Linked DNA regions of Macaca mulatta. The protein of the gene in region 1 purifies or fractionates together with the protein of each later gene. This does not show direct contact. Links are inferred from orthologs where the notes say so. Each region holds a gene or a part of one and is shown in the gene's direction. Other genes may lie near its edges.

The links.
Region 2: the proteins of KPNB1 (region 1) and NUP214 purify together in Homo sapiens (affinity purification with mass spectrometry; 3 studies listed by BioGRID and IntAct, with this or other methods). This does not show direct contact. The link is inferred for Macaca mulatta from reciprocal best matches to the Homo sapiens genes KPNB1 and NUP214.
Region 3: the proteins of KPNB1 (region 1) and NUSAP1 purify together in Homo sapiens (affinity purification with mass spectrometry; 3 studies listed by BioGRID and IntAct, counting the BioPlex papers as one, with this or other methods). This does not show direct contact. The link is inferred for Macaca mulatta from reciprocal best matches to the Homo sapiens genes KPNB1 and NUSAP1.
Region 4: the proteins of KPNB1 (region 1) and LARP7 purify together in Homo sapiens (affinity purification with mass spectrometry; 3 studies listed by BioGRID and IntAct, with this or other methods). This does not show direct contact. The link is inferred for Macaca mulatta from reciprocal best matches to the Homo sapiens genes KPNB1 and LARP7.
Region 5: the proteins of KPNB1 (region 1) and RCC1 purify together in Homo sapiens (affinity purification with mass spectrometry; 3 studies listed by BioGRID and IntAct, counting the BioPlex papers as one, with this or other methods). This does not show direct contact. The link is inferred for Macaca mulatta from reciprocal best matches to the Homo sapiens genes KPNB1 and RCC1.
Region 6: the proteins of KPNB1 (region 1) and DLGAP5 purify together in Homo sapiens (affinity purification with mass spectrometry; 4 studies listed by BioGRID and IntAct, with this or other methods). This does not show direct contact. The link is inferred for Macaca mulatta from reciprocal best matches to the Homo sapiens genes KPNB1 and DLGAP5.
Region 7: the proteins of KPNB1 (region 1) and RANGAP1 purify together in Homo sapiens (affinity purification with mass spectrometry; 3 studies listed by BioGRID and IntAct, with this or other methods). This does not show direct contact. The link is inferred for Macaca mulatta from reciprocal best matches to the Homo sapiens genes KPNB1 and RANGAP1.

Annotation. Positions count from the first base shown.
Region 1 is NC_133421.1:62,353,561-62,357,509, reverse strand, and holds part of KPNB1 (importin subunit beta-1), read left to right. Parts: intron 1-1,158; coding exon 1,159-1,241; intron 1,242-1,749; coding exon 1,750-1,857; intron 1,858-2,813; coding exon 2,814-2,957; intron 2,958-3,075; coding exon 3,076-3,181; intron 3,182-3,949.
Region 2 is NC_133420.1:16,422,978-16,427,641, reverse strand, and holds the start of NUP214 (nuclear pore complex protein Nup214), read left to right. Parts: upstream 1-1,482; 5' UTR 1,483-1,601; coding exon 1,602-1,646; intron 1,647-3,199; exon of another isoform or gene 3,200-3,301; intron 3,302-3,732; coding exon 3,733-3,928; intron 3,929-4,539; coding exon 4,540-4,664. UniProt on the Homo sapiens protein: Part of the nuclear pore complex. Has a critical role in nucleocytoplasmic transport.
Region 3 is NC_133412.1:18,723,298-18,727,088, forward strand, and holds part of NUSAP1 (nucleolar and spindle-associated protein 1), read left to right. Parts: intron 1-2,113; coding exon 2,114-2,222; intron 2,223-3,791. UniProt on the Homo sapiens protein: Microtubule-associated protein with the capacity to bundle and stabilize microtubules. May associate with chromosomes and promote the organization of mitotic spindle microtubules around them.
Region 4 is NC_133410.1:121,873,215-121,877,163, forward strand, and holds part of LARP7 (la-related protein 7), read left to right. Parts: intron 1-28; 5' UTR 29-30; coding exon 31-232; intron 233-1,996; coding exon 1,997-2,097; intron 2,098-2,214; coding exon 2,215-2,298; intron 2,299-2,430; coding exon 2,431-2,595; intron 2,596-2,675; coding exon 2,676-2,769; intron 2,770-2,837; coding exon 2,838-3,188; intron 3,189-3,280; coding exon 3,281-3,425; intron 3,426-3,464; exon of another isoform or gene 3,465-3,532; intron 3,533-3,594; exon of another isoform or gene 3,595-3,662; intron 3,663-3,760; exon of another isoform or gene 3,761-3,829; intron 3,830-3,937; exon of another isoform or gene 3,938-3,949. UniProt on the Homo sapiens protein: RNA-binding protein that specifically binds distinct small nuclear RNA (snRNAs) and regulates their processing and function.
Region 5 is NC_133406.1:212,365,681-212,369,629, reverse strand, and holds part of RCC1 (regulator of chromosome condensation), read left to right. Parts: exon of another isoform or gene 1-73; intron 74-365; coding exon of another isoform or gene 366-388; coding exon 389-576; intron 577-756; coding exon 757-936; intron 937-3,186; coding exon 3,187-3,283; intron 3,284-3,394; coding exon 3,395-3,517; intron 3,518-3,949. UniProt on the Homo sapiens protein: Guanine-nucleotide releasing factor that promotes the exchange of Ran-bound GDP by GTP, and thereby plays an important role in RAN-mediated functions in nuclear import and mitosis.
Region 6 is NC_133412.1:128,323,633-128,328,207, reverse strand, and holds the start of DLGAP5 (disks large-associated protein 5), read left to right. Parts: upstream 1-1,401; 5' UTR 1,402-1,597; intron 1,598-3,886; 5' UTR 3,887-3,887; coding exon 3,888-4,125; intron 4,126-4,575. UniProt on the Homo sapiens protein: Potential cell cycle regulator that may play a role in carcinogenesis of cancer cells. Mitotic phosphoprotein regulated by the ubiquitin-proteasome pathway.
Region 7 is NC_133415.1:10,224,933-10,228,881, forward strand, and holds part of RANGAP1 (ran GTPase-activating protein 1), read left to right. Parts: intron 1-664; exon of another isoform or gene 665-945; intron 946-2,059; exon of another isoform or gene 2,060-2,189; coding exon 2,190-2,339; intron 2,340-3,949. UniProt on the Homo sapiens protein: GTPase activator for RAN. Converts cytoplasmic GTP-bound RAN to GDP-bound RAN, which is essential for RAN-mediated nuclear import and export. Mediates dissociation of cargo from nuclear export complexes containing XPO1, RAN and RANBP2 after nuclear export.

The DNA of each region.
Region 1 (3,949 bases):
TTTTACTGGGGCATAAGTCACTTCAAAGTTAGATTGAACTTAAGTGCACACCACTTAAATTTGTATAACTGCCTTGTCAGTCAATTTAAATGGAGAGCCAGTTTGCAGCTAAGATTGGTAGAGGTGGTTTCTTTTTTTCTTTTTTTTTTTTTTGAGACTCGTTCTGTTGCCCAGGCTGGATTGCAGTGGCACAATCTTGGCTCACCACAGCCTCCACCTCCCAGGTTCAAGCAATTCTTCTGTCTCAGCCTTCTGAGTAGCTGGGATTATAGGCGTTAGCCACTGTGCCCTGCCAAAAGTTTCTATTTTCTTTCCTGGTACTTGCCATCACCTGATTTGGTTCGTAATGCTTTTGGACTAAGGTTGACACATGGTGCCTGGTATGGGATGAAATGAAACATTGAGCAAGTTCTAGGAATTGATTTTCTGATTTTTACATGTCTGCAAAATTGGTTTGGGGAAGCCATATCTGACTTAAGACTCTTTGAAGGGCCATTACAAAGCACTTTAGGAATCTGGAATGCCTCTTCATGTGTGGCCTGTAAGTACATTACTAAGGCCATTTACCTGAGGACCACTCTCCTGAGGACCAGACCTGTTTTTGGCATAAACAGCCTATGTCCAACTGGTCTGTCAACATGTGACCACTCCTCTGAAAGGGCAAAGAAGTTAATTTTGGCTCCTGGAGTGGCTGATTTGGATCTGAAGCCCAGTGCTGCTTTTCCTGACTGTGGCTTGTTTAGCCCTTGATGGGACTGCCTAAGGACCCTGTTTTGCAGCTGGCCTGCAGAAAGGACATGCTGTTATCAGATGAGGGGGCGGACAAGAGTCAGTACTGCTGGTTCAGACCATTTAAAATTAACCCCAACATTCCTTGAGGGCCATACCACTTTGTTGTATTAGCCAGAGTAAAGCCCTATTCTGTGGAGAGTGGGCATTGTCTCTGTGGTGTAAGAATTAGGGCCCTTCCAGCAGTAATAAATTTGGCTTATGCAAGCCTTTAATGTCTTCATGATGGAATCGGTAACTAACATACATTCCACCCAACCTGTTGAGTGGAGTGAGTCCATTTTGGGAGAGGTAGGTTATAGGTTATTTTTACCTGCCTCTGTGTTAACCCGTGGTGCTGTCATTGGCTAATAGTTTATTTCATTACAGTGTTGGGTGGTGAATTCCTCAAGTACATGGAGGCCTTTAAACCATTCCTGGGCATTGGATTAAAAAATTATGCTGAGTACCAGGTAGGATATGCTTTTCAAAATAGTATATTCCCATTTATACCTGATAGTCACTGTAGTGCAGACAAAACCAGGTTCTTATAGCTTAAGTAGTTTTCCTTATACATTTTCCTAAAAGGCAAGCTGCTTTATTCATTGCCTGAATATTTGAACTGGAAGTAGTCCATGAAAAACAGGATATTAGATGCACCAGATAAAGGTGGATAAGATGACTGTTTATTTGCCTAGACAGTACTAATGCGGGAGCAGCTGTAAAGTTGAGCTATCAGCACCCTGGAGAGCAAGGCTTTTTTTTTTGTTTTTTTAAACCTTTATCAGTGATCTCTCTCAGATAGTCTTTGTTCCCTTCCTGCCGTGTTGGTTGCTGAAAAATTAATCTCGGCAGAGGGAAGATGTTTTCTCCTTTGACTCTAGGTTCAAGTGATAAAAGCCTAGCAGCTAGTTAAAAATAATGTCTTGCCCCAGCAGGCAGCCTTTTCTGTTAGAAGATTATTTCCTTGATTCTTGGCAGGTTTGTTTGGCAGCTGTGGGCTTAGTGGGAGACTTATGCCGTGCCCTGCAATCCAACATCATACCTTTCTGTGATGAGGTGATGCAGCTGCTTCTGGAAAATTTGGGGGTGAGTATCTACACACAATCTAATTAACCAGTCTTCTTTGAAGAAATCAATAGTTGGAAAGATAGTTAAATATCGACAGGCCAGGCACAGTGGCCTGTAATCCCAGCACTATGGGAGGCCGAGGTAGGTGGGGTCACCTGAGGTCAGGAGTTCGAGACCAGCCTGGACAACATGGTGAAACCCCGTCTCTATTATAAATACAAAAAAAATTAGCCGGGCGTGGTGGCAGGGGTTTGTAATCCCAGCTTCCCGGGAGGCTGAGGCAGGAGAATCGCTTGTACCTGGGAGGTGGAGGTTGCAGTGAGTCAAGATCGCGCCATTGCACTCCAGCCTGGGCAAGAAGAGCCAAACTCCATCTCAAAAAAAAAAAAAAAAAATCAGTGACAGGGAGCTGTGAGTTTCTAGAACATTGGCTTTGGGCTTATAAACAGGGGAGTTGTTCATTTCACGGATGATTCTAAAGAAAGTGTAAAGTTAATTAAAGGAATGTGTGCTCTATTAGAGGTTTTTAAAACAAAACAGTAAAATGCAAAGGAAAAGTAAATACAGTTGTTCTTTGACTTATGATGGAGTTAGGTCCCAATAAACACATTGTAAAGTAGAAAAACCATCATGAGCAGGGGACCATTTGTATATCATACCTCTCTCCAGAGGTAGCCATTGTTAATTATTATACGTGTCTTTAAGTTCTATATCCAACTTTGCTACTTTGCTTCTGTGTTCTCGGACAAGTCACTTGACTCTTAAGTCAGTTGCCTCATGTGTAAAGTGGGAATGCCAATACCTGGCTAGCTTCTTAGAGTTGATGTGAGGTGCAATTGGGAAAGGTTTTGTAAGCTATAAAGGACCATCCAAACATTTAAAATCAGTAGTTGCTTGTTAGAAATGAAATTTTTGTGGATCTTTGGACCAAACAAGTTTTGACTTAATTGATTTTTCCTTTTGTTCCTTGTCAGAATGAGAACGTCCACAGGTCTGTGAAGCCGCAGATTCTGTCAGTGTTTGGTGATATTGCCCTTGCTATTGGTGGAGAGTTTAAGAAATACTTAGAGGTTGTATTGAATACTCTTCAGCAGGCCTCCCAAGCCCAGGTGGACAAGGTAAGCTTAAAGCTATCTTGGCTGTTCTTTAAGTCTATCTCTAATTGGAGGGACTGTTGACAAACATGCAGCTAAAGGTGTTCAGTATGATGTAGGTTCTGTTCTTTGTGTCTTACAGTCAGACTATGACATGGTGGATTATCTGAATGAGCTAAGGGAAAGCTGCTTGGAAGCCTATACCGGAATCGTCCAGGGATTGAAGGGGGATCAGGAGAACGTACACCGTTGAGTATACAATCCAGTTGCCTTCGTCCACTGGCCAGTGTGCACTTAGCCAAATGGACTATGTCTGTCATTCTGTAGCTTGCTTGTGAATTAGTGCCTGTTGCTTAAAGGCAGGAAGAAGGGAGAGCAGTGCCCTAATGAAGAGAGTGGCTTAGGGAAGACTGTACAGTATTGTTTTTGCTGTGCTTCTGCTTTTTTTTTTCTTTTTTGTTTTGAGATGGAGTCTCATTCTGTTGCCCAGGCTGGAGTACAGTGGTGCAATCTCAGCTCACTGCAGCCTCCACCTCCCAGGTTCAAGCAATTCTCCTGCCTCAACCTCCTGAGTAGCTAGAACTATAGGCATCTGCTACTATGCCCGGCTAATTTTTACATTTTTAGTAGAGGCAGGCTTTCACCTTGTTGGTCAGGCTGGTCTTGAACTCCTGACCTCAAGTGATCTGTCTGCCTCGGTCTCCCAAAGGGCTGGGATTACAGGCCTGAGCCACTGTGCCTAGCCTTTTTAATTTTTTTTATTTATTCTTTTTATTTTTTTGGAGACGGTCTTACTCTATCACCCAAGCTGGAGTGCAGTGGCGTGATCATAGCTCACTGCAATCTTCACCTCCCGAGTTCAAGCGATTCTTATGCCTCAGCCTCCTGAGTAGGTGGGACTATAGGCACGCACCACCATGCCCAGCTAATTTTTTTTTTCTTTTGTATTTTAGTACAGATGGGATTTCACCATGTTGTGCAGGTTGCTCTCGAACCCCTGAACTCAGGTAGTCTCC
Region 2 (4,664 bases), on another chromosome or scaffold:
CCAACCCATGAGGTCCAAGTTAAGAACCTCTGTCCTAGAGCATTTATAATTCACTACAGAAATTTATTGTACGAAAGACTGTAATATCATCAGTCAGCCTTATATCCAGACAATCTCAGTTCTCATCCTGTCACTACCACTTTCTGACTGAGGGCCACCGGAGAAATTTCTCAACTTCCCCTGTGCTTCCCTTACCTCAACAATTATTATTATGTATGTGGATGTGTATATATACATATATATATCTTTTTTTTTTTTTTTTTCCTGAGACGGTCTCTGTCACCCAGGCTGGAGTGCAGTGGCGCAATCTTAGCTCACTGCAACCTCCACCTCTTGGGTTCATGCCATTCTCCTGCCTCAGCCTCCTGTGTAGCTGGGACCACAGGCGTCCACCACCACGCCCGGCTAATTGTATTTTTAGCAGAGGTGGGGTTTCACCATGTTGGCCAGGCTGGTCTCCAGCTCCTGACAGGTGTTCCACCTACCTCAACCTCCCAAAGTGCTGCGTACAGGCGTGAGCCACCGCGCCCAGCCCATTTTTATTTTTTGAGGCAGGGTGTGGCTCTGTTACCCAGGCTGGAGTGCAGTGGTACAATCACAGCTTACTGCAGCCTCGACCTCCTGGGCTCAAGCAATTCTCCCATCTCAGCCTCCTGAGTGTGCTGAGACTACATGCGCATGCCATCACTGCTGGTTAATTTTTGTGGTTTTGTTTTGTTGTTTTTTGTAGAGACGGGGTCTCGCCATGTTGCCCAGGCTGGTCTCAAACTCCTGGGCTCAAGCAATCCTCCTGTCTCGGCCTCCCAAGTGCTGGGATTATAGGCGTGAGCCACCGGCGCCTGGCCTACCTCATCAATTAAATAATAACCCCTAGGATGACTAGAAGTCTTCAAGATTACATGAGATCCCACATCTGAAGGTTTTTGCAAAGGACGTGGCACAAACTCGTGCAACTAGAGATGCATATGGCTCTTGCTCTGGAAATGATCACCTTGATAGGAGCAAACAAAGCTGGTCTTCCGTGCCCTTTAATCTCCCCTTCCAGCCTTCCACCTTCCACACTGGCGACCCCCCAACCCCGTTTTTCTGAACCTCCCTTCCTCCCCTTGCATAGCCCAAAGCCTCTCTCTAAAGTAGCCCACCGAAAACATCTGTCAAGTTCCTAACTTATCTGAATCGGAAGCTACTAATAGCCAACCTACATCTAAGAGGAACTGTAAGGTGTCAGAGGAACAAGGAGCATAGGTCGCTTAGACGTGGGCCACCCAAGAAGACAGATTGACACTAAGCGAACCCGCGCTGTCTGCGAAGGCGGGAGCGGCACCAGGACGATCCAGGGCGCAGGCGCCGGGGCCCCACGGCCACGCCCCTATTCAGCACGAGTTGGCCAATGGGGAGCGGCGGCCGGGAGAACGCGCGGCTTCTTTAGGTTCCGCTGCCTCCCCGGCCAAGCTTGACGTCACCAACGCGCGCCGGAAATGCGAGATCAACTGCGCGCCGCTGGCGCTGAGGGAAGGAAGTTTGCAGTCCAGCGGCCTAGGTTCTGTGGGCAAGGCCGTGGGAGGCAGCGTTGGCTGCTTCGACACACCGAGGGCGGCGCGATGGGAGACGAGATGGATGCCATGATTCCCGAGCGGGAGATGAAGGTCAGAGACTAACTGGGGCCTCCCTCCCTTCTTTAGTCCTGGCGTTGCCTTGGAGCCCAGCTGAAAGGCGAAGCGCGGTGCCGGCTGTCCCGTCTCCTGCTTGAACAGACTACCGCGTTCACCGCTCTCAGCTGCGCGTCTGCCGCGCCGCTGGCGTGATAGCCCCACCGAATGCAGTTTCCCAGTCCCATCCTGGTCTCGTGCACGTCTCTTGAGTTACCCTAGCTAGTTTCATGTGGCGGTCACAATAGTGGCAATAACTGCTGTGTATGGAGCGTTGACTGTGTGCCAGTCGCTGTGTAGTCATCGCAGCAGCCCTACGAAGTGGTTATTAACGTAGAGGAGTAAGTCGAGGCTCGGAAAGTGATTTCCCTAAAGTCACATTTGACAGCGGGGCTGAAAGCCAGCATCGTTTAAGACCTTCGCTCTGCCAGTATTTCTGTAAGGCGGTACGGGCTTGCCTAACGTAGGGTCAGGGGAGGTCATCCATCCTGCAGAACCTTTAGTTGACTGGACTAGGAAGACTGTTTTGATATCGGTGTATCAGCCTCAAACCAGGAACCTAAAGGGAGGGCTAAGTGTTTCCAGTGATGGCAACGTGGGAGTCCCCCAGGGATAACTTCAGGATGGTGTGTTTAATAGTTCTTATATGTGTTCTGACAGAATGAGGGTGCAGCAAACGGCCTACATCTGTTTTAAATAGTGAAAGGAAGTAAGATGCAGGAAGATTTTAGTCATCTGTGTGAACAGTAAATCACTAACATGCATGTAGGGCATAGTAATACATACCCTGTTTAGAATAGTGATTTTTTTTTTTTTTTTTTTTTTTGAGACAGAGTCTCGCTCTGTCTCCCGGGCTGGAGTGCAGTGGCCGGATCTCAGCTCACTGCAAGCTCCGCCTCCCGGGTTCACGCCATTCTCCTGCCTCAGCCTCCCGAGTAGCTGGGACTACAGGCGCCCACCACCGCGCCCGGCTAATTTTTTGTATTTTTTAGTAGAGACGGGGTTTCACCGTGTTAACCAGGATGGTCTCGATCTCCTGACCTCGTGATCCGCCCGTCTCGGCCTCCCAAAGTGCTGGGATTACAGGCTTGAGCCACCGCGCCCGGCCTTTTTTTTTTTTTTTTTTAAGACATAGTCTCGCTCTGTCACCCAGGCTGGAGTGCAGTGGCATGATCTCGGCTCGCTGCAACCTCCACCTCCCCAGCTCAAGCGATTCGCCTGCCTCAGCCTCCCGAGTAACTGGGATTACAGGCACCTGCCACCATGCCTGACTAATTTTTTATATTCTTTGGTAGAGATGGGGTTTCACCATGTTGGCCAGGCTGGTCACAAACTCCTGACCTCAAGTGATCTGCCCTCCTCTGGCTCCCAAAGTGCTGGGATTACAGGTGTGAGCCACCGTGTCGGCCTAGAATAGTGATTATTTTTTGAGAATCACCACCTGTGGTGAGCCACCTAATGGGATTGTGTCATATTCCTCAGATATACTGGGGTAGAAGAAAAAAAGGGTTTATTAATAGAATCACAGACTTAGAAGATGGTAATCTCAGACTCCCTTTGGCAGCACATATAAAATTGGGATCATGCAGAGAAGACTAGCATGGCCCCTTTACATGGATGACACACAAATTCGTGAAGTGTTCCATGTCAGAAAACACTGAAGGCCGAGCGGAGTGGCTCACGCCTGTGAGCCTGCACTTTGGGAGGCTGAGGCGGATGGATGACTTGAGGTCCGGAGTTCGAGACCAGCCTGGCCAACATAATGAAACCCTGTCTCTACTAAAAATACAAAAATTAGCCGGGCATGGTGGTGGGCGTCTGTAGTCCCAGCTACTTGGGAGGCTGAGGCAGGAGAATTGCTTGAACCTGGAAGGCAGAGGTTACAGTGAAGCAAGATCGCCCACTGCACTCCAGCCTGGGCGACAAAGCGAGACTCCGTCTCAAAAAAGAAAAAAAGACAACTGAGACAGACCGTGTTCTCAGTAATATATATTTTTGTTGTACTGAAATTGGGTCTACTGAATATAACTTGTTTTAATTTCTTTATTTATTGAATTGATCTTGTTTTGATTCTTCACAACAGGATTTTCAGTTTAGGGCGCTAAAGAAGGTGAGAATCTTTGACTCCCCTGAGGAATTGCCCAAGGAACGCTCGAGTCTGCTTGCTGTGTCCAACAAATATGGTCTGGTCTTTGCTGGTGGGGCCAGTGGCTTGCAGATTTTTCCTACTAAAAATCTTCTTATTCAAAATAAACCCGGAGATGATCCCAATAAAATAGGTAAGTTCCGTGGTTTATGTTGCAAAGTAGAGAGAGGAGTGTGGTGGCATGCTCTTGTGTTTCCTTCCCAAGAAGTCATTCTAATACTAAAATGAACACTGCTGTCAGTTTGAAGGTTGACTCCCAAGAAGATTAATGGAAGCCTTTCTAGGTTTTCTCCTTGGTCCTTTGTACTTTTCCTTACATGAGTTGTTCTTCTCAGCTCAAGAGGGAAGAACTTAACCATTATGCCATACTTTTATTCTTGCCCAGTTGAACTTGGGCTCTGGCTCTCTGGGTGAAGGGTTTTATTGGCATGGGTTTTCAGTTGGCACAACAGTACGATCCAAACTATTGGCAATGTGTACTATTTAGAGCATTGTTGCAAAAATATTTTCAACAAGGGCAACAGCCACAGTTAGTTTCCCCAGATAGTATGAGGAAGAATTCCTGGGATACTTAATGCATGATTATATCTCTTAAGAAAGTAAAGATTTATCTGTATAACTAGGTATTGGGGTGTATGTGTGTTTATGTAGATGCAAAAATTTTTTCACATTGAACTGGATAGAGGTTGTGGCTTTATGCTTAGAACATACTGTTTTCTGCTTTATATTTTTTTGTTTTTATAGTTGATAAAGTCCAAGGCTTACTAGTTCCTATGAAATTCCCAATCCATCACCTGGCCTTGAGCTGTGATAACCTCACACTCTCTGTGTGCATGATGTCCAGTGAATATGGTTCCATTATTGCTTTT
Region 3 (3,791 bases), on another chromosome or scaffold:
ACATAGACCCGTGATTTAAAAGACTTTTCATTAAACAATTAATAATTACTTGATTCAGCAGGGTGCAGTGGCTGATGGCTGTAATCCCAGTACTTTGGGAGGCACAGGCAAGAGGATGACTTGAGCCTGGGAGTTCAAGAGCAGCCTGGACAACTTAGCAAGACCCTATCTCTACCAAAAAATTTAAAAATTAGCTGGACATGGTGACACGTGCCTGTGATCCTAGCTATTCAGGAAGCTGGGATGTGAGGATTGCATGAGCCAGGGAGGTTTGGGCTGCAGTAAGCCATGACTGTACCACTGCATTCCAGCCGGGGCAACAGAGTGAAACCCTATCTCAATAAAAAAGAAAAGCAGGACATAGAGCCAGGTGTAGTAGTATGTATGCCTGTACTCCCAGCTATATGGAAGGCTGAACTGGGAAGATCACTTGCAGCCAGGAGTTCAAGGCTGCAGTGTATGCTATGACTGTGCCTATAGAGAGCCACTGAAGCCCGTCTCGACTACTAAAAATACAATAATTAGCTGGGCACGGTGGCGTGTGCCTGTAGTCCCAGCTACTCGGGAGGCTGAGGCAGGAGAATTGCACGAACCCCAGAGGCAGAGGTTGCAGTGAGCCGAGATCGTGCCAGTACACTCCAGCCTGGACAACAGAGCTCCGTCTAAAAAATTAAAAAAAAAAAAAAGGCTGGGCGCGGTGGCTCACGCCTGTAATCCCAGCACTTTGAGAGGCCAAGGCGGGCGGATCACAAGGTCAGGAGATCGAGACCATCTTGGCTAACACGGTGAAACCCCGTCTCTGCTAAAAAAAAAATACAAAAAATTAGCCGGGCGCGGTGGCGGGCGCCTGTAGTCCCAGCTACTTGGGTGACTGAGACAGGAGAATGGCATGAACCCAGGAGGCGGAGCTTGCAGTGAGCCGAGATGGCGCCACTGCACCTTAGCCTGGGCGATGAGCAAGACTCCATCTCAAAAAAAAAAAAAAAATTAAAAAAAAACAAAAACTATATTTAAATTTAAAAAACAGGCCGGGCGCGGTGGCTCAAGCCTGTAATCCCAGCACTTTGGGAGGCCGAGACTGGAGGATCACGAGGTCAGGAGATCGAGACCATCCTGGCTAACACGGTGAAACCCCGCCTCTACTAAAAAGAATACAATAAACTAGCCGGGCGAGGTGGCGGGCGCCTGTAGTCCCAGCTACTCGGGAGGCTGAGGCAGGAGAATGGCGTGAACCCAGGAGGTGGAGCTTGCAGTGAGCCCGGATCGCGCTACTGCACTCCAGCCTGGGCAACAGAGCCAGACTCCGTCTCAAAAAAAAAAAAATTTAAAAAACAAAACAGGCCGGGCGCGGTAGCTCAAGCCTGTAATCCCAGCACTTTGGGAGGCCGAGACGGGCAGATCACGAGGTCAGGAGATCGAGACCATCCTGGCCAACACGGTGAAACCCCGTCTCTACTAAAAAGACAAAAAACTAGCCGGGTAAGGTGGCGGGCGCCTGTAGTCCCAGCTACGCGGGAGGCTGAGGCAGGAGAATGGCGTAAACCCGGGAGGCGGAGCTTGCAGTGAGCTGAGATCCGGCCACTGCACCCCACCCCGGGCGACAGAGCAAGACTCCATCTCAAAAAAAAAAAAAAAACACAAAACAAAACCAAAAAAAAGCAACACGTAAACTTCCAGAAATTGGGTCCCAGTTCTTTTTTGTAAAATTGCAAATTGGTTGGACACAGTGGCTCACGCCTGTAATCCCAGCACTTTAGGAGGCCAAGGCAGGCAGATTGCTTGAGAACAGGAGCTCGAGACCAGCATGGGCAACATGACAAAACCTCGTCTCTACTAAAAAATACAAAAATTACCTGGGCATGGTGGTGTGTGCCTGTAGTCCCAGCTACTCATGAGTCTGAGTTGGGAGGATCACTTGAGCCCAGGAGGCGGAGGTTGCTGTGAGCTAAGATCAGATCACACCACTGCACTCCAACCTGAGCAACAGAGTGAGATTCTGTCTCAAAGAAAAAAGTATAATTGTCAATAGCAGGTAACCACAGATGAAGGGAATGAAGTTGGGAATATAAATCAAACAATCTTCTTAAAACTCTTTGTCTCTGTCCTAAACTAGGAAAGCTAAAACCATGGGGGCAATCTAAAGAAAATAATTATCTAAATCAACATGTCAACAGAATTAACTTCTACAAGAAAACTTACAAACAACCCCATCTCCAGACAAAGTAAGTACATAATTATCCAGCTTTATAATTATTTTAATTTCAAAAGCAGCACCTTGGCCGGGCGCGGTGGCTCAAGCCTGTAATCCCAGCACTTTGGGAGGCCAAGACGGGCGGATCACAAGGTCAGGAGATCGAGACCGTCCTGGCTAACATGGTGAAACCCCATCTCTACTAAAAAAAATACAAAAAATTAGCTGGGCGTGGTGGCGGGCGCCTGTAGTCCCAGCTACTAGGGAGGCTGAGGCAGGAGAATGGCGTGAACCCGGGAGGCGGAGCTTGCAGTGAGCCGAGATCCGGCCATTGCACTCCAGCCTAGGGGACAGAATGAGACTCCGCCTCAAAAAAAAACACAAAACAAAAGCAGCACCTCTGAGGGATAGAGACTCAGTAATAGTGGTGTTTTAAGGGGAGGTTAGAAGTGGTATCATGGGCCAGGCGTGGTGGCTCACACCTGTAATCCCAGCACTTTGGGAGGCTGAGGCAGGCGGATCATGAGATCAGGAGATCGAGACCATCCTGGCTAACATGGTGAAACCCTGTCTCTACTAAAAATACAAAAATGAAAAAAAAAATTAGCCAGGCGTGGTGGCGGGCACCTGTGGTCCCAGCTATTCGGGAGGCTGAGGCAGGAACCCGGGAGGCAGAGCTTGCAGTGAGCCGAGATCGTGCCACTGCACTCCAGCCTGGGCAACAGAGTGAGACTCCATCTCAAAAAAAAAAAGAAAAGAAAAGAAGTAGCATCATATATAGAACTTTCTGAGTACATGTTCCAGTGTAATGGACTCCAAATCAGCAGGTTTGGGGTGAGGCCCAAGCACCTGCATTGTTTCCAAAGCTCTGCAGGTGATTCAGAAGAAGACCCAGATTCAGAGCACTGCTCTTGCATGACTCATCTGCCTCAACACAGGGCATGTGGGTATCTCTCCTGATACCAATGCCCAGCAGTCCAGGGCACCTACGTATCCAGATAGACATCAATTCCTCACTCCTAAGGAAGCCAGGCTTACAAGGCATCAAGGCCCTATAAAGAGGAGCACCCAGGACGGTCCTTAGAGGCTTCCTTCAGCATGAAAACCAAGTTAAAGCCAGAGCTCATCCTAGGTTGTAGCAAATCATGGTTGGGCCCAGATTCCCTGCTTGGACCCTCATGACACAGGGTTACCTATCATTTGACTCATGGCTATACATGACTGCGCCAAGGCCTTTGCTCGCTGTTATTAAGTTGGCTGAGTGAGGTGGCTCACGCCTGTAATCCCAGTACTTTGGGAGGCCAAGGCAGGTGGATTACGATGTCAGGAGTTCCAGACATGGAGAAACCCCATCTCTACTAAAAATACAAACTTAGCCAGGCGTGGTGGCGCATGCCTGTAATCCCAGCTACTCTGGAGGCTGAGGCAGGAGAATCGCTTGAACCCGGGAGGCGGAGGTTGTGGTGAGCCGAGATTGCGCCATTGCACTACAGCCCAAGCAACAAGAGCAAAACTCCGTCTCAAAAAAAAAGAAGTCAAAGGTCAAGCTCAGAATCACATAGTTTAGTGAAAGGAATAGAACTAGAATCAGGGTCTACTG
Region 4 (3,949 bases), on another chromosome or scaffold:
ATTTACCTCTTTTTCTTATATTTCACAGGAATGGAAACTGAAAGTGGAAATCAAAAAAACGTAATGGAAGAAGAAAGCACTGAAAAGAAAAAAGAAGTTGAAAAAAAGAAACGGTCACGAGTTAAACAGGTGCTTGCAGATATTGCTAAGCAAGTGGACTTCTGGTTTGGGGATGCAAATCTTCACAAGGATAGATTTCTTCGAGAACAGATAGAAAAATCTAGAGATGGATGTAAGTTTGCTTCAGTAAAGGAACCAACTTTTAGATGTGGTTGCCTTTCAATTTATTTATAAAATAGTATATCTATATATTTTTTTGAGATGGAGTCTTGCTGTGTTGCCCAGGCTGAAGTGCAGTGGCATTATCTCAGCTCACTGCAACCTCTGCCTCCTGGGTTCAAGTGATTCTCCTGCCTCAGCCTCCTGAGTAGGTGGGGCTACAGGCACGCACCACCATGCCTGTCTGATTTTTGTATTTTTAGTAGAAATGGGATTTTACTATGTTGGCCAGGCTGGTCTCAAACTCCTGACCTCGTGGTCTGCCCACCTCGGCCTCCCAAAATGCTGGGATTACAGGTGTGAGCCACTGCACCCAGCCTAAAATAGTATATTCTATAATGTATGTATTCGTTTCTGCAAGTATGTTCCTTGTCATCTGTTTTAATTTTTATTTAGTGAATGACAGTCTTCTAAATATTTAGACTGTTGGTAAGAGTTTAGGCTATATTAAATAAGCAGTTTCGGCCGGGCACGGTGGCTCACGCCTGTAATCCCAGCACTTTGGGAGGCCGAGGCGGGCGGATCACAAGGTCAGGAGATCGAAACCCCGTCTCTACTAAAAATACAAAAAATTAGCCGGGCGCGGTTGTGGGCGCCTGTAATCCCAGCTACTCGGGAGGCTGAGGCAGGAGAATGGCGTGAACCCGGGAGGCGGAGCTTGCAGTGAGCTGAGATCGCGCCACTGCACTCCAGCCTGGGCTGGGCGACAGAGCGAGACTCCGTCTCAAAAAAAATAAATAAATAAAAATAAAAAAAATAAATAAATAAGCAGTTTCATATCAAAGCTTGTAAGTATTTTGGGATTTAATTGCTTCAATAACCATTTATCATGTGTAACTTGAGATGAGAGTGCTATGCTTTAGTTCATACAAGAAGGCATTTCACCTAGCTCAATGTTATTTTTTGTTTCACATTTTTTGAGGCAGGGTCTATCTTTTTTCCCTAGGCAGGAAATGCACTGGCTCCATGTCTGCTCACTCCAACTTCTGCCCCCACCTCCACCCCCTAGCCCTACCCAAGCTGTCCTCCAACATCAGCCTCCCCAGTAGCTGAAAACACAGGCAAGCATCATCAGGCCTGCTTTTTCTTTTTCTGGCATTTTTAGTAGATATGGGGTCCCACCATGTTGCTGATCTCGAACTCCTGAGCTCAAGAGATCTACCTTCGCCTCTAAATTGCTGAGATAAGAGGCATTGAGCCACTGTCCCCAGTTGATAAATTTCAAATGACCAGCCATGTGCTTGTTTCTAATAGGATGGGATCCAGACATCCTCTTTGAATGTCTGGATGTTGCTAAGCAATAAAACCTCAATCTGCAATTACATACACTAAGATGTGTCATTTTAGGTATGCCAAATATGCAATACCATTTAGACCCTCACACAACAATACTGTTAATGGACAAAGTCTGTCTCCCAGGCTGGAGTGCAGTGTGATCTCAGCTCACTGCAACCTCTGCCTCCTGGGTTCAAACGATTCTCCTGCCTCAGCCTCCAGAGTAGCTGGCATTACAGGCATGTGCCACTACACCCAGCCTAATTTTTTGCCAGGCTGATCTTTAACTCCCCCATCCACCCGCCTTGGCCTCCCAAAGTACTAGGATTACAGGCATGAGCCACCAAGCCCGGCCTGAGGGGCAGGTTAAATTGTACCAGATTGAATTAATCCTGCTGATAGTGTACACTAACACAATTATTAACTTTTTCATTTTCATTAGATGTTGATATATCACTACTTGTGTCTTTTAACAAAATGAAAAAATTGACTACTGATGGGAAGTTAATTGCCAGAGCATTAAGAAGTTCAGCTGTCGTAGAGGTAAGAATTAAGAATGACTGCCATTACTATATAATTATAGTTTATAAATAATATTAACGTAATGATCATTATTATAGTTTATTATAGTTTTATTAATGTAATAATACTCTTTTAAAGCTTGATTTGGAAGGCACCAGAATCAGGAGGAAAAAACCTCTGGGGGAAAGACCAAAAGATGAGGATGAGCGCACTGTGTATGTGGTAAGCTTAAGAGCCCGGGTCCCCAGTCAGAAACTGGCACAGAAACAATGTAATTAAGTTAAAAACTTATTGACATTCTGAAAATATAAGCATTGCAAAAAACTATTTAATATTGCTTTTAATTTATCACAGGAGTTACTTCCCAAAAATGTTAATCACAGCTGGATTGAAAGAGTCTTTGGGAAATGTGGCAATGTTGTTTATATCAGTATACCACATTATAAGTCTACTGGAGATCCAAAGGGATTTGCGTTTGTGGAATTTGAAACAAAAGAACAAGCAGCAAAGGCAATTGAGGTAGGTCCAGATCCTAGAAAAAAAAAATGTATAGATATAACAAGTATTAAAATAGTAAAACTTTTTTTCAATCATTTCAGTTTCTTAACAACCCACCAGAAGAAGCACCAAGAAAACCTGGCATATTTCCTAAAACAGTGAAAAATAAGCCCATTCCAGCCTTAAGAGTTGTGGGTGAGTATTTTTCAATATTTAAGTAGATGTAATTGAAGTAAGATGAACTAATGATGGCACTTTTACAGAAGAGAAGAAAAAGAAAAAGAAGAAGAAGGGCCGAATGAAAAAGGAAGACAATGTCCAAGCCAAAGAGGAAAATATGGACACAACCAACACCAGCATCAGTAAAATGAAAAGATCCAGGCCCACATCTGAGGGCTCTGACATTGAGTCTACTGAACCCCAAAAGCAATCCTCAAAGAAAAAGAAAAAGCGGGACAGAGTTGAAGCATCGAGCTTACCTGAAGTCAGAACAGGCAAGAGGAAGAGAAGCAGCTCTGAAGATGCAGAGTCCCTGGGTCCGCGATCAAAAGTAAAGAAAATTATTCAGAAAGACATCATTAAGGAACCTTCAGAAGCTTCCAAGGAAAATAGAGGTAAACTGCAAGGTTTTATTTATATAAATTAAGCTTCTGTTTCACCCATTTCACAGCCGCAAGTCTTAACTGGCTTTTTTATTTATTTCAAGATATAGAAATCTCTACTGAAGAGGAGAAGGATACTGGAGATCTAAAAGACAGCTCTCTCTTAAAAACAAAAAGGAAACACAAGAAAAAACATAAAGAGAGACATAAAATGGGAGAAGAAGTTATACCATTAAGAGTACTATCAAAGTAAGTCTGTGGTTTAAATCCTGTCATTAGCTTAACAATCCATCACCATTGCTAAAGTGCAATTCCAATTTGTGTTCAACAGAGTTGCATATTAGCAACAGTAGTGGCCTGTAGCAAAGAACTGCACACAATGTGGGCGTTAACGCAATCGATGATTAAGTAGGAACCACCACACTCAAACATGGAAGCACTTATTTTTGTCTTACCACAGCAAGTGCCTCCATGTTAAAGTAGAGGGGGCACCTTAACAGACTTAAAAATACAAAATAAAGCTTAAATAAACGAGAATAAAATCCTTTTCTAAAAACCTTATAAAAATGTAAAAGGAAGACTTACCATCACCAAAACATGGAAGCACTTACTTCTTTAGTTTCAAAGCAAGTACATCCACGTTTAAGTGGTGGGAAGCCCAGTCTTGGACAAACTTAGAATCCTTTAACCTGTAACAAGCTTAGTAAGCTTGAAACACAGTAACAAAAAAAATTAACAAAAGGTGTGCTGACTTGGAGACACCTCCACTGAAA
Region 5 (3,949 bases), on another chromosome or scaffold:
GGCCAGGCTGGTCTCGAACTCCTGTCCTCAAGTGATCCGCCCGCCTTGGCCTCCCAAAGTGCTAGGATTACAGGTGTGAGCCACCGTACCCGGCCCCTCTTGCCCTCTCCACCAAGATTCATTTCACAGTATCCAGTGTCTCCTTGTTTCCCTTTCTCCCCTTTCATGTGAATAATGTCCTCAGTTCTTAATCTCCACAAAAATCCTGTGAGAGAGGTATTTTGTTGTCCCCATTTCACAGATGACAAAACTTAGACTCAGAAAGTTCATACTAACGGTCTGTGGCAGAGCAAGGGCTTCCGCCCAGGTTTGTCTGATCGCAGAGCCTGCGACCTCTCCTCGCTGTAGTCATCCTCTACACTCAGGGTCTATCTTCTTCACCCTTCAGTCTCACACAGGTCCCACAGCACAGAACCCGGCTTGGTGCTGACACTAGGCCAGGGCGATGTGGGCCAGCTGGGGCTGGGTGAGAATGTGATGGAGAGGAAGAAGCCGGCCCTGGTATCCATTCCAGAGGATGTTGTGCAGGCTGAGGCTGGGGGCATGCACACCGTGTGTCTAAGCAAAAGTGGCCAGGTAGGTGTTGGGGGCTGGCATAGGGTTGGACAAGGCCTGGGATTGGGTGGCTTGGGGCAGGGCTTTTGAACCACACATGTTCACTGTGGAAATGGAGCTGGCTAGTCCAGCGGGGAGTGGCCTACATGAGAATGGACTGCGAGGCCAGACTTTGCATTAATGAGGGCATCCTGGGCACAGGTCTATTCCTTCGGCTGCAATGATGAGGGTGCCCTGGGAAGGGACACATCAGTGGAGGGCTCGGAGATGATCCCTGGGAAAGTGGAGCTGCAAGAGAAGGTGGTACAGGTGTCAGCAGGAGACAGTCACACAGCAGCCCTCACCGAGGATGGCCGTGTCTTCCTCTGGGGCTCCTTCCGGGTAAGGCTGGGTCTGGAAGTCTGCATGGGGCCTGAAAGGCAGAACTAACTGGTGGGGCCCCAAAGATAATCCACTTCCATGCATCCGTGGTACTTACTAGTGGGGAGATGAAAGCCCACAGATAGAGCTGAGGCCCAGACCCAGGATTCCAGCTTCTTCATGTGGGCCACACCACCAGCTGCTTCCTTGGATCCAATGTCATCAAGTGTCTGTCCTGGGAAGCGAGTGGGTCAAGGATGTCCCTGGGTTGAGGCTGATCCAGGAGGCCTGCTGTCTTCACCCATCTCCCTGACTTCCGTCTCCACCTCACCTCGCCAGCACTGCTTCTTCCACATTTCCCAGAGCTTAGATGGGGCAAGCAGGCAGGGATTGTTGCATCTCAGAGTTTCCAAGGTAGAGAGGAGTGTAGTTTAAAAAATAGATTCTGACCGGGCGCGGTGGCTCAAGCCTGTAATCCCAGCACTTTGGGAGGCCGAGACGGGCGGATCACTAGGTCAGGAGATCGAGACCATCCTGGCTAACACGGTGAAACCCCGTCTCTACTAAAAAAATACAAAAAACTAGCCGGGCGAGGTGGCGGGCGCCTGTAGTCCCAGCTACTCAGGAGGCTGAGACAGGAGAATGGCCCGAACCCGGGAGGCGGAGCTTGCAGTGAGCTGAGATCCAGCCACTGCACTCCAGCCTGGGCGACAGAGCGAGACTCCGTCTCAAAAAAAAAAAAAAAAAAAAAAAAATAGATTCTGGTTTTTTGTTTTTTTTCTTTTGAGAGACGAAATTTCACTCTTGTTGCCCAGGCTGGAGTGCAATAGTGCAGTCTTGGCTTACCACAACCTCTGCCTCCCGGGTTTAAGTGATTCTCCTGCCTCAGCCTCCCAAGTAGCTAGGATTACTGGCATGCGCCACCACGCCTGGCTAATTTTGTATTTTCAGTAGAGATGCGGTTTCTCCTGTTGGTCAGGCTGGTCTCAAAATCCTGACCTCAGGTGATCCACCCGCCTCTGCCTCCCAAAGTGCTGGGATTACAGGCATGAGCCACCGTGCCCAGGGCCAAATTCTGTATTAAAATTGTTTTCTTCTTACTATTTTTTTTTTAGATGGAGTCTCGCTCCATCAGCCAGGCTGGAGTGCAGTGACGAGATCTCACTGCAACCTCCTCCTTCCAGGTTCAAGCGATTCTTCTGCTTCAGCCTCCCAAGTAGCTGGGACTACAGGCGCATACCATCACGCCCAGCTAATTTTTGTATTTTAGTAAAGATGGAGTTTCACCATGTTGGCCAGGCTAGTCTCGAATTCTTGACCTCAAGCGATCTACCCGCCTTAGCATCCCAAAGTGCTGGGATTACAGGCGTGGGCCACCGCACCCGGCCTGATGGGTGTTTTCTTATCACGTCTATTTTGAATTTTTTATGGAGAATGTCACCCAGGCTGGAGTGCAATGACACAATCTCAGCTCACTGCAACCTCTGCCTCTTGGGCTCAAGCAATTCTCCTTCCTCAGCCTCCCAAGTAGCTGGGATTACAGGCACGCGCCACCATGCCTCGCTAATTTTTGTATTTTTAGGAGAGATGGGGTTTCACCATATTGGCCAGGCTGGTTGCGAATTCCTGATCTCAGGTGATCCGCCCCTCTGGGCCTCCCAGAATGCTGGGATTGCAGGCGTGAGCCACCGCGTCTGGCCTCCTTTCTTTTTTAATTAGAGATGAGATCCTGCTCTGTCACCCAGGCCAGAGTGCAGTGGCATCATCTTAGCTCACTGCAGCCTCAACTTCCTGGGCTCAGGTGATTTCTTCCACCTCAGCCTCGCAAGTAGTTGGTACTATAGGCTTGTGCCACCACACCCAGCTAGTTTTTGTATTTTTTTGTGGGGACGGGGTTTCACCATGTTGCCCAAGCTGGTCTTGAGCTCAAGCGATCTGCCTGCCTGGGCCTACCAAAGTGCTAGGATGACTGGCATGAGCTACCATGCCTGGCCCAGAATAGTATACTGAACGCCCGTTTACTTGCCACACAGTTTCAATGATTATCAACTTATGGCCAGACTTGTTTATCTCTATTTACATCCACTCTCTGACTCCTTGATTATTTTAATGCAAGTTGCAGACCATAAATGATTTCATTCGTAAGTATTTGAGTATGTGGCCCGGCTCCTGCCCACCTCTCCATCCCCATCTGGTGCCACTGCCCTTCTGGATTTCACTGGTATGGCGCAGGCAGGACTGGCTGATAAGTGCCCTGTCCCTCCCTTCTAGGACAATAACGGTGTGATTGGGCTGTTGGAGCCCATGAAGAAGAGCATGGTGCCAGTGCAGGTGCAGCTGGACGTGCCTGTGGTAAAGGTGGCCTCAGGTGGGTCTGGGGGTACTTGCTCGGGGCAGGACTTGGAGGACCTTGTTCTGGGGCTGGCCCAGCCTTGGGCCTTACAGATGTGGCCTGCATCCCTTACCTTTTCATCCTCAGGAAATGACCACTTGGTGATGCTGACAGCTGGTGGTGACCTCTACACCTTGGGCTGCGGGGAACAGGGCCAGCTAGGCCGTGTGCCTGAGTTATTTGCCAACCGTGGTGGCCGGCAAGGTCTTGGTAAGTGGCCTTGGTACCTCCAGCAGGGCAAATTGGCAGGCCACCCCCACAGTGAAGGCCAAAGGCGGGAAGGATTTGCTGTGGTCAGGCTTGCATCAGATGGACTTGTGGTATTGGTTAAGACTTTGGAGACAGACTGCTCTGGTAATTTTGCCACCTACTGTCTATGGGACTCTGAACATAGTTTCTTCATCATTAAATCTACCTACCTATAAACCTACTTCATTAGGTTGCTCTGAAGTTAAATGAGTTAATGAGAAGAATATCAGGCAGATGGTAAGTTCCATGTAAATGATACCTCTAATAACTGTGGGAATCTGAGCAAGGCACTTATATTCTCTTGATCTCAGTTTCTTTTTCTATAAAATAGGGATGAGAGTCCCTACTTAGCCTGTCAAGGGCTTTTATAATGGAGGAGAATTAAACTTGGGG
Region 6 (4,575 bases), on another chromosome or scaffold:
CAGAAATTCCACTCCTGTATTTCCTCAAGGAAAATAAAACATGCCCACAAGGACTTGTTCAAGAATGGTTATAGCAACTTTGCTCATAATAGCCAAAAATTGAAAGCAATACATATCAATCAACTGGCGAATGCATAAAGTATTCAATGGAATGCCTCTCAATAACAAACACTACTAACTTCTGGTTCACGCAGACCCAACAGAGTACCTATCACCTTCATTTTTATAGTGTCAGAAATAAGAGGAGTGGTTGCTGATGCGGTGGGAGATGGACTGGAAAGAAACAGGCCACTCTTCTGAGTGATGGAAATGCTCTACGTCCTGATTGGGTGGTAGTTACACAGCTGTGTACATTTACCAAAACTCATCAAATTGTCCACTGGGGGGAAAAAAACTATTATTTTTTATTTATTTATTTATTTTTTTTGAGACAGAGTCTCACTCTGTCGCCCAGGCTGGAGTGCCATGGTGCGATCTCCGCTCACTGCAAGCTCTGTCTCCCAGGGTCACGCCATTCTCCTGCCTCAGCCTCCCGAGTAGCAGGGACTACAGGCGCCCACCACCACGCTCGGCTAATTTTTTGTATTTTTAGCAGAGACGGGGTTTCACCGTGTTAGCCAGGATGGTCTCGATCTCCTGACCTTGTGATCTGCCAGCCTCGGCCTCTCAAAGTGCTGGGATTGCAGGCGTGAGCCACTGCGCCCGGCAAAAAACTATTATTTTCACTGTACGAAAACTTCACCTCAACAAAAAACAAACTAGAAAAGAAAAAAAGGGGGGGAGGGGCTAGCGACGTTGAAAAGTAACACTAAACGATGTAAGTTTTTAATAATTGGGGTAAGCCTTTTTTAAAAAACGTATAGTAAAGAAAACATTTCAAGAAGGTCTGCTGGGTTCCGTGACTAAACAAAGATATTAAAAAGCCCTGAATCCAGTTTGGGCAACGTAGTGAAGCCCTGTCTCTACAGAATTTTTTTAAAGTTAGCCAGGCGTGGTGGTGCGCGCCTATAGTCCCAGCTACTCGGGAGGCTGAGGTGGGAGGATGGTTTGAACCCAGTAGGTCGAGGCAGCAGTGAGCAGTGAGCAGTGGTCGGTGCCCACTGCACTCCAGCCTGAGCGAGACTGATACCTTGTCTCAAAAAACAAAAACAAAACCAAAAAAAGCCGCAGGAGTTCTGGGGGAGATTTCCCGCAGCCCAGTTTCGCCAGGGGCCCAGCATCACCCCCTGGGCTCCGCCGCCCACTCCTGCCCTTCACCTGAGGTGAGCGCCCTCACCGCTCCACCCCTTCTCATCCCGCGTCGCCGTCCCGCCTATTTTCCCTCTCACACCCATCTTTTGAACCGTCCCTTCACCTTTCAATCAATTCAAATATCGCAAGGAGCAAACCAATCGCAAGCCTAGTTGAGTGGAAGGGGCGGGATCTTCCACGGAAGTGTTGGTTAAAACCCCTCCAATCAGCGGCTCCGTGCGGAAAGTTTGAATTTCGTGGAGGCTCGGGTTGTGAGGGTTCCTGCTTCGGAGTCGGCGGTGGTCGTCCAGAACGAGTGTTTTTTACTTTTTGTTTGGTTGAGGTTTCACGCTAGAAGGTGCCTCAGGTAGGTGGGTGCTGAAGAGCTGGACGGAGAACGCTGGCCCGCTTCCGTTGAAGGTCTAGAAGGGTCTGAGGACCGGGGACTGCGAGCGTCGGAGCCAGTCAGAGGCAGGCTCCTTTAGGAGGGTGTTACCTGCTCTTCCTGAAGCTGATAACGCGAACCTTTAGAAGAGTCCGTATGTTTGTCGTGACCTCTGTAGAAGTCAGTGTTTCACCACCGGGGCGTAATTGGCCTTTGGGGTGAAACTGTTCTTCACTAGCTCCGACATTAAATTTCCGTAGCTCTTCCCAGGTCCCATGGCAACTAAAAACGCCCGGTTGAGAACCTCTAGTCAAGCAAGATTAACGCATTCTAGACTTTCAAGCTGGAGGAAACGCCACTCAGCCAAACAAAATTTAGGTGTGTGTGAAGAGTCAGGGTGCCTGGCTTGGGATCCCGGCTTCACCACCTTTTAGATATGCTGATGTGAGCTGTTAATTGACCTCATCTGTATGAGAGCGATAATAGTAACTATCTTTCAGGGTTATTCTGATAATTATACCTTTAATGTTGTCCTCGCTCGCTCTTTCTCTTGCTGTGGATAGTGCTGGCCTGTATTTAATACATAAGTGTTAATTTTTCTTCAATCTTCAGCGAATTAATGCTGCAGGAGATAAATAGTGGAAAAGAGTTCTTTATGAAAAGCACAGTCCATTGTCACTTTCCTTGGGTCTTAGAGGAGAATGTTATTAGCGTGCAGGTCAGATTCTCATTTTTTATATTTTGTCGATTGCTAAGAATCATGTAACAATTTATTGCATTACTTGTGCCAATTTTCCTATTGTCTGGAGTTTTCTAGTGGATTTAGTTAATTCTTGTTAAAGAGTATACCATAGTGTGCCTATCACAGAGCCTCCCCCCTTACCTTTTTTTTGTTTTTTGTTTTTTAACTGCCAAGACTTCTGAGAATCAGTATCCTTTCTCCAGTTTGGCTTGGTAGTTCTCTATACCAGCTACCCAGGTGACCCCCTCAAACTTTCCAGTTTTCTTTGTTCCCAGTTGGACCCACTGGCATCGTCTTTATTGTCCTCTTTTGTTTTGCTTGAATACATTCTCAAAGATCTTTCCAAGAAAAAGGCATGTGCCAAGTAAACTATATGATTTCGTGCGTGTGTGTGTGTGTGTATGTGTGTATGGCTTTTCTTTCTTAAAATTTATAGAGATGGAGTCGTGTTATGTTGCCCAGGCTGGTCTCAAACTCCTGGGCTCAAGCAATCCTCCTACCTTGGCCTCCCAAAGTGGTAGGATTATAGGCCTAAGCCACCCTGCCAGCCTAAACTGTATGATTTCTTGTATGGATGAAAATAATGGAGCAAACTGATAGGGTTATTGTGAACTATGTATTTGGTCTTGTTCTGTTTTCTGGTAAACTACTACTAAAATCCTTGGAGTCTTCTAAGTGGTATCTTTTTGTATGCTAATGATTGACTGATAGCTGGATGCCTCTCAGTAGCTTCTGGATTGAGGCTGGTCACTAGACAGACCAAGGCAGGATTACAGAGTTGGGATTTTCAGCCCCACCTCACAACCTCTGGGGAGGGGAGAGGAGCTGAAGGTTGACTTGATCACCAGTGGCCAATGATTTAATCACTCATGCTTATGTAATGAAGCTGCCATAGAAACCACAAAAAAAAAAAAAAAAAACACCTGTGTTTGGAGAGCTTCTTAGGTGAACACATGAAGGTTCCTAAACGGTGGTGCTACCTGAGAGAGCATGGAAGCTCCTTGTTCCTTTCCACATACTTTGCCCTGTGCCTCTCTATCCAACTCTATCTGTATCTGGCTGCCTATTGATTATCTCTACATGACTAATAGGTACCTGGTGTGGGGTTTTTGTTTGGTTTTTTTTGCTTTTTTTTTGGCTTTAGAGGAAATGTTAGACTACCTGCATTCGTCGTCATGGGTAAGGAAACCATTCTGTACATGGTCCTTCACTTAACCTATTTTCACCTTTAGTTCACGCTTTTCTTTTTGCAGTGTTCTCTAAGCCCAGAGCCTCTTTTATTCTGGACTATAGCTTCCTGGCTTTCTCTTCATCGGTCAAGCAAGTTCCTATTTAAAACCCCCCAAATAGGTAGCTTCTTATGCTCTGATAATCATCTTCCCACTTTTCAGTGTTACATATTTCTTTCATTGCACATTTTATATTTTTATTTCAGAAGGCCCTGAAGTGGGACAGGAGATGAACTATAATCTTAATTTTTTAAATAATGAAAATTCATGTAAGTTGGGTTTTGTCCTTTTCCTTGACAGGATGTCTTCATCACATTTTGCCAGTCGACACAGGAAGGATTTAAGTACTGAAATGATTAGAACTAAAATTGCTCATAGGAAATCACTGTCTCAGAAAGAAAACAGGCATAAGGAATACGAACGAAATAGACACTTTGGTTTGAAAGATGTAAACATTCCAACCTTGGAAGGTAGAATTCTTGTTGAATTAGATGAGACTTCTCAAGAGCTTATTCCAGAAAAGGCCATCGTTAAGCCAAGTAAGTAAAGGTCTGTTGTAATTTTAAGTACTTTGAAGAGTGAATAATAGTTGGTTTAATGCCTGTGTGAGTAAAAAACCCTGGCCAGAAGAATTTTGAAATATCATTCTATAAATAACTTTTCTTTTTTGGTCTTTTATCTTTTTTTCTTTCTTTCTTTCTTTCTTTCTTTTTTTTTTAATTACAAGAGACAGGGTCTCACTGTCACCTGGGCAGGAATGCAGTGGTGTACTCACTGTAACCTCAAATTCCTGGGCTCAAGGAATTCTCTTGCCTTAGCCTCCCAAAGCGTAGGGATTACAGGCATGAACCACCACGCCTGGCCCCTTAACCTGTTTTCTACAACTAACTACTGTCTTTAAGGCAAAGCCATTTACCTATGGAGTATTATAACACTTTATCTATATTGCCTCATAGAAATCCTAAAGTTCTTATGGAGCTTGGGTAGGG
Region 7 (3,949 bases), on another chromosome or scaffold:
CCAAAGTGCTGGGATTACAGCCGTGAGCCACCACTCCCACGCCCCTCCTTTTTTAAATCACATACTAAATGTGTCATTTAGCACACATGCTTCAAGAGGTCAAGGTTTCTGTTTCCTTTGCTGCTATACTTCTGTTACCTGGAACAATATCCAGCACACAGTAATACTCAAATGTTTTGTTGAATGAATGAGTGGACACCTTACCCAGAATAATAATTCATGCTTATTGATAAAGACATAGACAAACCAGGGTGATAAGTTTGAACCCAGAGGAAGCCTAGGGGTGGCAGGATTCAGGGTATCACATCTGTATCTGAGAATGAGGAGGCTGTAGGAGAAGGCCTTTTGGATAGCACCCCCTAGTTCTGCCCCTCATATCTGCTTCCTTGGTCTGTCCTGATTACTTGCTGTTTCTCCTCTTTTTTTGGAGCATCTCACAGACACATTTATTCATACCACAAAGTGAACACTATACAAGTATGTAGTGATGTTCCACGTTCCCGTCTAATATAGCTGGCTTCAATTGTCAGGCAGTACACGAGAGACGTTTAATCTCACATGTACTCCAAGTAAAGCTGGAGTACCATGAGTAGGCGCAGGAGTTCTTAAAGGTTTACTTGTTGTTTTAAAAATTCTCATTTATTGGCCGGGCAAGGTGGCTCACGCCTGTAATCCTAGCACTTTGGGAGGCCGAGGTGGGCAGATCACGAGGTCAGGAGATCGAGACCATCCTGGCTAACATGGTGAAACCTCCTCGTCTCTACTAAAAATACAAAAAAATTAGCTGGACATTGTAGCGGGTGCCTGTAATCCCAGCTACTCAGGAGGCTGATTCAGGAGAATGGCATGAACCCGGGAGATGGAGCTTGCAGTGAGCCGAGATTGCGCCACTGTGCTCCAGCCTGGGTGGCTGAGCGAGACTCCATCTCAAAAAAAAAAAAAAAATTCTTTAATTTATTTAGTTACTTTTAGAGATAGAGTCTCCCGATGTTGCCCAGGCTGGAGTGCAGTGGCACAGTCATAGCTTACTGTAGCTTTGAACTTCTGGGCTCAAGTGATCCTCCTGCCTCAGGCTCTCCAGTAGATGGGACTGACTACAGGCATGTGCCACCACATCCAGCTAATTTTTATTTTTATTTTATTTTTTTGAGACAGGGTTTTACTCTGTCACCCAGGCTAGAGTGCAGTGGTGAGATCATGGCTCACTGTAGCCTCTGTCTCCTGGGCTCAAGCATCCTCCCACCTCAGCCTCCCCAGTAGCTGGGATTACAGGTGCACACCACCATCCCCCGCTAATTTTATTTATTTATTTATTTTAATAGAGATGGAATTTTGCCATGTTACCCAGCTTGAGCTGCTGGGCTCAAGCAATCTTCCCGCCACAGCTTCCCAATGTGCTGGGATTACAGGTGTGAGCCACTGCACCTGGCCAGCTTTACTTCTTTTACCAGCACTCCTGACTTTATAAACAGTGAGGCTCATCAACCCCATTTCCAACCAGATCCCCTGGTAAACTTGGGTATAGTAGGGCTTCATGGGTGGCAGCCCTGTCCCTGTCCTATTATGATGGTAGCTGTTGTGATGTGGCAATCTCTGATCTAGAAAACCCTGAGAGGCCACTGTGGCCTGCCTAGTCTCCCGGCCAGGGTTGAAACCAGACGTGCAGTGGGGCTGACCCCTGTGCCCCACCCCAGAGTCATGCCAGTGTGGGTGTGGGGCATTCTCTGGGATGAATGATCTGGATCCCATAGCCATCTGTGTCCTGTTTGAGGAATGTGACCCTCAAGCAGAGAGCAGCCAAGATGCTCAAGCAGGTGTGTGCTCGGGCCAGACTCTGCAGCCTTTGGTTTGGGACTTGACTGCCATTCACTGACAGGGTCCAGGAAATGGGCAGCTCACATGGCATTGCTGGGCATCCCAGCTGCAGCGGTTTGGCAGAGGAGGACTTGTAATGAGATGGTAGCTCCTTATAGGCTAAAACATGATTTTTCTGTTCTCTTACTACCTCCTGCACCTTCTGGAACTGTTCATTCTCTGATGCTGTTTTCCTTTCTTCCAGTGGTTTAGCTGTAGGGTCTCCATAGCAGGGGAGGTACGGTCAGACTCCTGAGATGACTATGTCCTACCCTGCCCCCCAACCAGGGGCCCCAGGAGACTCCTTTTTCTTATTGCAACTTCGGCCTCTTCAGTCTGCAGATCTCCAGGGGAGCCCACCAGCCTAGTCAGCATGGCCTCGGAAGACATTGCCAAGCTGGCAGAGACACTGGCCAAGACTCAGGTGGCCGGGGGACAGCTGAGTTTCAAGGGCAAGAGCCTTAAACTCAACACTGCAGAAGATGGTGAGTTTCTGGAAGTTGCGCACTGGTGTGTCCAGGGGAGGAAAGGGAGTGTACTGAACTCTTACTGGTTATCAGGCTCTTTCTGCTACATTGTCTCCATTATTTGTCCCAGAAGCTCTGTTAGGTATCATTGACCCCCTTCTAACAATGAGGCTCAGAGATCATTTGCCCATGTGCAAGCTCCCCTGAGCTTTGCATGTTTGCAGTGGGCATCCCTTTGTGCCCTGTCCTTTCTTTCTCAGGAGGGGATGGTAGGTAATGAGGGGCCACAGTTAGTGCCAGTCCCAAGATACAGCCTCTGACTCTGACTTCACATCTGGTGTTCTCCCACCCCTGCCCTTTACTCTCATGATCTCAGGCAGGCCTGGCAATAGGTGCAGCTTTCCCCAGAGCTGAGGCTGTGTTGGAGCTGCATTAAAACAACCTGGGCCCTCTTGGGAGATGCTGGTTCATGCAGCCAGATGTACCTGGGAGAGGGATGGCTGTCTGTGTGTATACAGGTACTGTAACCACAGAAAACGAGGAACCAGAGCGCAGACCCTATCTTTTCATCCCTTGTCAAGGCTTCGCTGCCACTGACCAACCCTGAATCCCCTGGCACCAGCAAATGAAGGCGCCTGTGTCAAGTGAGGCCTCCTGGGATTCTGGCCCAACCAGGGGAACTGGTTTGGACATGCCTGGTTGTCATGTTGTGTAGGCAGCCTTGTTCCCCCCAGGTCAGAGGCTGCTTGAGTCCTTGGGTAGCTGGGAGCGTGGTGACACATGTTCCTAACATCTTCATAAGGCCTTAACATTTATAGACTTCCTCCCTGTGCGTTTATCACTTTTATTTTTTTTTTTTGAGACGGAGTCTGGCTGTGTCACCCAGTTAGAGTGCAGTGGCACGATCTCGGCTTACTGCAAACCTCTGCCCTCCTGGTTTCAAGCGATTCTCCTGCCTCAGTCTCCTGAGTAGCTGGGATTACAGGCATGTGCCACCATACCCGGTTAATTTTTGTATTTTTAGTAGAGACAGATTTTTGCCATATTGGTCAGGATGCTCTTGAACTCCTGACCTCAGGTGATCTGCCTGCCTTGGCCTCCCAAAGTGTTAGGATTACAGGCGTGAGCCACTGTGCCCGGCCTTTTTTTTTTTTTTTTTTTTGTAGATGAGTCTCGCTGTGTCACCCAGGCTGGAGTGTAGTGGTACGATCTTGGCTCATTGCAACCTCTGTCTCCCAGGTTCAAGTGATTCTCCTGCCTCAGCCTCCCAAGTCGCTGGGACTACAGGCTCACACCATCATGCCTGGCTAATTTTTTTTTTTTTTTTTGAGACATAGTCTTGCTCTGTTGCCCAGGCTGGAGTGCAGTGGTGCGATCTCAGCTCACTTTAACCTCTGCTTCTTGGGTTCAAGCAATTCTCATGCCTCAGCCTGCTGGGCGGGTAGCTGGGACTACAGGTATGTACCACCATGTCCAGCTAATTTTCTTTTTTTGTGTTTTAGTAGAGATGGGGTTTTACCATGTTGGACAGGCTGGTCTTGAACTCCTGACCTCAGGTGATTCACTCACCTCAGCCCCCAAAGTGCTGGGATTACAGGCGTGAGCCACTGTGCCTGACCTTCAGCCTA